Linked DNA regions of Danio rerio. The protein of the gene in region 1 purifies or fractionates together with the protein of each later gene. This does not show direct contact. Links are inferred from orthologs where the notes say so. Each region holds a gene or a part of one and is shown in the gene's direction. Other genes may lie near its edges.

Region 1 (4,176 bases):
CTGGCAGATTTTTAATGTGGTTGAAATTTGGAGTTATACACTGATTTGAAAACCTTTGAGGAGACTGAAGCGCTGAGTTAATTTGTTTCAAATGTAGTGTGAAATAATAGATTTGGGGGGCCACATGGGCAAAACACATGCAGACTTCCCTCAGAATTCCTTTCACTGTGTGATGGCAGAAGATTTTTCATTTTTCATAAAAGCCTTTTCTCTACAAGTTGACATGTTGCTCCAGTTTTCGGGCATAATACAAATTAAGTCAATAGAAATACAAAGGAGTCAAAATCGTGAAAAGTGCGCCATCGTGCGGTCAAACAAATAACTGCGTGTTTTATTTTAGAGCCAATTGGAAAAGATGCATGCAAACAAAAAGTCTAAATAAGTATCATAATTTGCATTTGTAAATGCATGTCACAAACAAAAATGGCACAATAAGTATGGTAACAGTGCAATCTGCAAAAGTATTTTCAGCGGCAATCTGTGTGTGAATTGTTTGGAAAAGCTGTAATTGTTTTTGAATTTCACATACACATATAAAACTTTTAGGATAGAGTGTGGAGCATTATTTAAAAGCAATAATACACCACAACATAGCATAACATACTTCACTGACACCTTTACCGGTGGTATTTCAGATCGCAATTTCTCTTGCTCTTCAATCTATGAACTCTGAAGAAAAGGATTTGCATTATAGCTTTGTTCAGTCTATTCTTTAAGTAATTACAGTAATGTGATTGTACAAGTCCAACTAGTTCCACGTGTGACCTCGTGAACCGCCCTTAGATTGATCAATAGATATATGCTAAGTAAGGTGCGACTCATGAACAAATAGTTCGTTTGAACTGATTCAATCCAACCGATTGTTAACATGATGGACAATGCTAACATTAATATAATTAACACTAATTCTTAAATTGAATTATTTGACGCTACATATCATATCCAATGAAAAAGTAAACATAAATAACGCGTAAACAAAACAAAAATATCCGTGAATCATTTGATCGGTTCTCTTCAAAAGAGTCGATTCTGTAAAATGATTCCCAATGCTAACACGTTGACCATTTTAACAATTTTAACAGTGTTCTCGCTGTAATGCATTTCTACCACACACAAAATTCAATATTTGTCCCTGTTTAAATCATTTAAATAGTTATGGCTTGCTGGGAAGCTCTTTCTCTTCCTCCTTTCAATTCCCAAAAACTCGCCGAACCAGATTTCAAGAGACAGGTGCGTTTTTAACACGACAAAGGACGCTCAAACGAAAGAGGAAGACTGGTTATGATTATATCTCCATTAAAAATATCCACAACTTCATTCATTTCATGATCCACAATGGCGGTAAACCTGAGTAAAAACGGACCCGCGCTTACAGAAGCATATGATGAGGTGGTGAGCGGGAAAAAAGACTGGTAAGAAAACTCCATCACACATCAACACCTCGAAAATAAATCGACGAATGACATGTTTTTTTTTAAAGAATAAGTAATCATTATATTTACTTTACGTAATTAACTTTGCCATTTCAAGAGAATCTGGCATCCAACATTAAAAATACTATAGTAATTAGAGTAAATAGTGTTTTTGAAGCATATAGCAAAGCGTATTATTGTATACACTGTACACTCGATTTGCGTTGGGACAACATGAAAGAGTTAACTTATTAGTTTTTACAAATTTAAGTAGATTTAATGAAAAAATTAAGTTGTCCCAATTAAAAAAAAACTCAAAAATTGTGTTGTTTCAGCTCATTTTAAATAAGTCGTTTAAACAAATAGCAAACGTAATTTTTTTGAGTGTATAGTGTTTACAACACTTTTGTTAGTGAATGATAAAGCATAATGTAGTATTATTAACTATAGTGAACTATAATAAATACAGCAGTGCACTTTAGTTTTTACTACAGTAAACTGTGGTGTAGTATAATAACAATGTAGTATAATAACAATGTAGTTGCAGTAAAGTTGGGTTGTTTATATTAGTACTAATATAGTTGATGTACTACTGCAACAATAGAATTCAAAATACTCTAGTGTTTACTTTAGTATTTTTTCATTTATTTTCAAAACAATATTCAAATTTGTTTTATGAGCTATTACATATAACCTGTGCAAAAAAAAAACAGAATGGCTGGTTACTTCTTGGCGAGTATTTTACATTTATAATAGCCTATTCTGTTAATAATCTTGCATGAAATGTAATTTTTTTTTTAAACAGGGTGTTGTTCACCTATGAAGGAAACAGTAATGACATTCGGGTTGCAGGGAAGGGAGGTGAGTGTTTTCTTCAGATGAGATGAGAGTGCCAATAGACTGACGTCATGCTTTTTTTTTTTTTTTTGTCTTATTGATGAGTCAGCAGTCCACAGTTTCATATGCTGGTTTGTGTTTCTCTCATTTTTTTTAGATGGTGGGCTTGAAGAAATGGTGGACGAACTGAACAGTGGTAAAGTCATGTATGCCTTCTGTAGAGTGCTGGACCCCAGCTCTGGAGTGCCCAAATTTGTGCTCATCAACTGGGTATGAACAGAAAAATATTCAGAGCTGGATGTACAAATAAAAAATGCTTCATGAATGAATAGTTCACTCAAATATTACATTTACATTTAGTCATTTAGCAGACGCTTTTATCCAAAGCGACTTACAAATGAGGACAAGGAAGCAATTTACACAACTAAGAGCAACAATGAATAAGTGCTGTAGGCAAGTTTCAGGTCTGTAAAGTCTAAATGTCAGACATTAATGTCTAAATGTCAGACATTAAGTCATAATGTCAGACATTAACAAGAATTATTCATAATATTTATTAAATTACCCAGTCAATTGTATTTTATTAATGTCTACCTCAACCCCAACCCTTACAGTAATGTAAAAACAGTAATTATCCAGAGAATTATTCATATTATTTATTAAAATGCGGATGGGCCCACGCGGATTGCAATATGCACTGGTCATTCATTCATTCAGTTTCTTGTCGGCTTAGTCCCTTTATTAATCCGGGGTCGCCACAGCGGAATGAACCGCCAACTTATCCAGCAAGTTTTTACGCAGCGGATGCCCTTCCAGCCGCAACCCATCTCTGGGAAAACATCCACACACAAACACTCATACACTACGGACAATTTAGCCTACCCAATTCGCCTGTACCACATGTCTTTGGTCTGTGGGGGAAACCGGAGCACCCGGAGGAAACCCACGCGAAGGCAGGGAGAACATGCAAACTCCACACAGAAACGCCAACTGAGCTGAGGTTCGAACCAACGAACTTCTTGCTGTGAGGCGACAGCACTACCTACTGCGCCACTGCCTCGCCAGCACTGGTCACTACTAACTAAACGGAGTAGGACCACACAGTTATGTTTTGTTAACATGTTGAGGTTATATGTTGCATGTAAAATGTACGTTTCAAAACTGCACAAATTTTGTCAATCCGCCTATGCACACAATCAAATTCAAAATCACCCGATCTGGCAACACTGACAACAAAGAAGACTTTCTCCAGAAGATAAAATATTATAGGAAATACTGTGAAAAATGTCTTGCTCTGTTAAACATCATTTGGGAAATACTTGAAAACAAAATTCACAGGAGGGCGAATACTTTTTACTTTAAAAAAATGCAGCAACACCGAAAGCTTTAAAATGTATTCACAGCTTCATTGATATGAATCCTCTTTTGGTTTTAGACCGGCGAGGGAGTCAAGGACCTCAGAAAGGGTGTTTGCGCTAGACATGTTCACTCAATGGCCAATTTTCTGAGAGTGAGTTTAAAATACAAGTCATTCTCTTATTTGTCGCATTATGTCATGCAAATAAACACCATCATAACTTTAATCTGTTATGTGTTGAATTAAAGGGTGCACACGTGACCATTAACGCTCGATCAGATGATGACGTGGAACCTGCGGCCATCATGGAGAAAGTGGCCAAAGGCTCCGGCGTAAACTACAACATCCACAGAGAATCAAGCCAGAACAATCATTCTGAGCCTCCTGGACGTGTGGTGAGGGATTTCAATCATAATCATAACTCATATTAAAGATTATGGAAGTCTAGTCCTACTATGGAAATTGTGAAAAAAATTAAAAGGTAATAGGTGGTTCATTCCGCTGTGGTGACCCCTGATAAATTAGGGACTAAGCTGAAGAAAAATGAATGAATGAGTTCTGAACTTCTAT
Region 2 (3,658 bases), on another chromosome or scaffold:
CTTTCCCCTTTGTCTTCCAAATGTAACACTGGTCATTATGGCCAAACAGTTTAAGCTTAGTTCCATCGGACCACAGGACATCTCCAAACATTATTCTTTTTCCCAGTGTAATTTAGCAAATTGTAATCTGGCTTCTCTCTCACTATTCTGCTATTAAGCATAACAAAAACAAATTTGATACACCTAACTTTCCTAAAAGAGAAAAAGTTTAATCACATTAACATCTGACTTTTTTATGGTTATGTGCCTTTTTATACAGTGTATGTAAACTTTTGGTCTCAGCTGTATGTGCACAGATTGAATGTGATGGTTAATGCTAACCTGTTACATACTGAATCCCTTGCTCTTTTTTTTTCTTCCAGATGGTTACTTTAATGAGGATGCCAAGTATAACCTGTGTTACTGTGAGTCCTGTCATAAATTAAGGGGTGATGAGGCCTATTACAAGCGAGGAGAGCCCCCCAGAGACTATGCTCTACCGTTCGGCTGGTGCCGCTTTGCACTCCAGTCAGTTACTTTTAAGTTGCTTCTGTATTTAAGCTGTTAGAATGTGAAGATGATTTATTAGTGGTATTTAATGCCTTATCAAGTGGTCTTGTCTTTATTTAATCAGGATCAAGACCCACTGTGAAGTCTCCAATGCCTTCAAGAAGTGGCACATTGCGTATCACGGCACAAGTGTCGGTTCTCTTAGACGCACCCTGGACCACAACCAACTGTTATCAGGTTAGCAGTTACTGGAAAATAATTCTGAATTTATTCATTAACAATTATTGGGTATTGTTTGAAACCATTAAACACTTCTGTTCATCAATGACTAATTATAAGTGATAGTAATATAATTTATATTGTTTGTATGAAACGTAATTGTCACGCAAATATTAATCTGTTTTCAACACTACTGATAATGTAAAACAATAATATATTAAACAATTACATTAAACATTGAAGAATGGAGTAATTATGCTGTCAGTCCTTTTACAGCAATAAATTACATATTAATAGATGTTAAAATGAAAAACAGTTATTTTTATATAATGTAATGTATAACATTATTTTTCAAACCAAATGTATAGTTATAATATACATTTGGTATATATATTTATATATTAAATATATTTATATAATATATTTATTTTAATATTTCACAATACTACTGTTCATACTGTATTTTTGATCAAATAAATCAAGATTGGGTGGTGTGATTGTAAGAGATTTTGTGTAGATTCTTATAATTAAGATGTTATTGTGTTATTTAATAATATTTTTCATAAATAAGTGAAATATATATAATATATACATAATATTCAGTTGAATTCAGAATTATTAGTGCCCCTTAGAAATCTTAATTTTTAAAAAAATATTTCCTAAATTATGTTTAACAGAGCAAGGAAATTTTCACAGTATGTCTGATAATATTTTTTCTACGGAGAAAGTCTTTTTTGTTTTATTTCTACTAGAATAAAAGCCGTTTTTAATTTTTTAAACACCATTTTAGACAAAATTATTAGCCCCCTTAAGCTAATTATTTTTTCGATAGTCTAATTAACCTAGTTAAGCCTTTAAATGTCACTTTAAGCTGCATAGAAGTGTCTTGAAAAATATGTAGTCAGATATTATTTACTGTCATCATGGAAAAGATCAAATAAATCAGTTATTAGAAATGAGTTATTAAAACTATTATGTTTAGAAATGTGTTGAAAAAAATCTCTCCGTTAAACAGAAATTGGGGAAAAAATAAACGTGACTAATAATTCAACTCCTTTTCAATTGTAGGCTTATTATTTTTTTTATCCAGTTCATCTCTAACATTGAAAAGGCTAAATATCTGCTTCTGAAATGCATGAATGTGTGAATTAAAATCAGCTTCTCTATTTCTCATCAGCAGAATCATCCTCTATTTTCTCGTCATCGTCGGTGAAGACGGAGGGTCATGGCAGCTACGGAGAGCCGGAGGAGAACAGCGCTCCAGAGAGAGACATTCCCAGAGTGCAGCTCTCACCAACCATGCGATATTCCGGCCTCGAGGTCTTCGCTCCGAAAGTGCAGTAAGTCCACAGTTTGCAGACTTCCTGAGGACATTTAAACAGGACATTAAAATTATAGCAGCTTTTGGATGCTATAATGAATAAAAGATTTACGACAGTTGGTTCAAAAGAAATGAAATTGTTGTGTAGCATAATGTGTTTATCAAATCAAATTCGGAGATTCTATTATGTTGTCTGTTGCTCTGTGTTTTCAGATCTTTTTTGTTGTTTGTTTAGGGGTAAAAATAAGCAGCGGTGTACTGTTAGTGAACATCCTGATCAAACAATTTATGCATTCAATTACTTAAGGGGCATATTTTGCCCAAAAATGAAAATTTACTCACCCAAAAGTGGTTCTCTCAAGATTTTCTTTCTTTTTTTGAACACAAAAGAAAATATTTTGAAGAAAGCTGAAATTTTAGCGAAAAAAACATGATATGCTATAATATTACACTGTGCTGTGACTGTTATTTAGTTACCTACAGTAGTTGCTTTTTTTAGCATTACACTAAAATAGTAAACTATTTTCAGATGATGCGTAACAACATTGCACCTTCTGTAGCCCTGGTACAGCAGCAGAGTTCCTTGATTATTATGCCAGATTGAATAAAAATGTACAAATGTCTGTTTAAACAAAAAAATTATAATAATAATAATTATAATAAAATTATTAAAACAAAAGAAGCCAGAACTCAAATAAAAAAAATAAAAATTGAAAATAAAAAATTCAGAGTTTATGTAGAAAAAATTGAAGAGGTCCCCAAAGCGTCCAGAATTTGTTCTGTTTGTGGTTGAGATCATAGGTTAATTTTTCCAAAGGAAGAAAGACTGACAACTGAGAAATCCACATGGAAATAGTTGGAATTTGAGAAGTAGACTATTTTAGTAATATACATTTCTTAGCCAAAAATGTAAGAGTTGTAAACAGGTTTGATCTCTGAGTCAAAAAGGTTTTCAGGAATGTCATTCAACAAAAAAAAGTGAGGGGGAGAAAGAAAACGTTTTCCAATTATCTCCTGGATTGCAGAATGAACCCCCCTCCAAAATGGTTTGATGTGAACACGGGACCAAAATACATGAAAAATGTGCCCTTACACGTTATTGCACTTCAACAAGAACAAGCTGGGAACATGTTATGCAGATGAACAGGTGTAAAATAAATTCTGTGGAAAAACTTGACATTTTGTTCATGTATTGAAATTGAGGTACATTTTGGAAAAGTGCAATCACAAATCTTAGACTAATCTTCAGGATTAAACAGAACTCTTAGGATTCAGAGTAAACCTAAAAGGCATAGAACTGAGAAATAAGCCCTATAAAAAGCTTAGTTTTAATATCTCAATAGAAGCTTTGAATATAAATATTACAAGACAATATGACGTCTTATATGAGAACGGTCAGAATGACCACTATGGTAATTCTAGTAGTTACAGAATTCCACTGTTAAATAGGAAAATTATCAAAGCCTTTTTTTTTTAGCTAGATGCCAACGGTCTAATCTGATTCAATGATTTATGCTATGCTAAGCTAAAAGTGTTAGTAAGAGACCCAGAGATCGGCTGAATGGATTCAAAAATGGTAATGCTTAGCTGTTCAACTCTGGTGGATGTTTTCAGGGTAAATAAGCCTAT

What was found. Proteins that work in one complex are often made in the same cells at the same time.
Region 2: the proteins of dbnla (region 1) and neurl4 purify together in Homo sapiens (co-immunoprecipitation; 4 studies listed by BioGRID and IntAct, counting the BioPlex papers as one, with this or other methods). This does not show direct contact. The link is inferred for Danio rerio from reciprocal best matches to the Homo sapiens genes DBNL and NEURL4.

The regions. Positions count from the first base shown.
Region 1 is NC_133185.1:47,603,922-47,608,097, forward strand, and holds the start of dbnla (drebrin-like a), read left to right. Parts: upstream 1-1,275; 5' UTR 1,276-1,335; coding exon 1,336-1,412; intron 1,413-2,217; coding exon 2,218-2,273; intron 2,274-2,406; coding exon 2,407-2,519; intron 2,520-3,684; coding exon 3,685-3,759; intron 3,760-3,854; coding exon 3,855-4,001; intron 4,002-4,176. UniProt on the Homo sapiens protein: Adapter protein that binds F-actin and DNM1, and thereby plays a role in receptor-mediated endocytosis.
Region 2 is NC_133187.1:24,192,790-24,196,447, reverse strand, and holds part of neurl4 (neuralized-like protein 4), read left to right. Parts: intron 1-362; coding exon 363-507; intron 508-613; coding exon 614-726; intron 727-1,885; coding exon 1,886-2,048; intron 2,049-3,658. UniProt on the Homo sapiens protein: Promotes CCP110 ubiquitination and proteasome-dependent degradation. By counteracting accumulation of CP110, maintains normal centriolar homeostasis and preventing formation of ectopic microtubular organizing centers.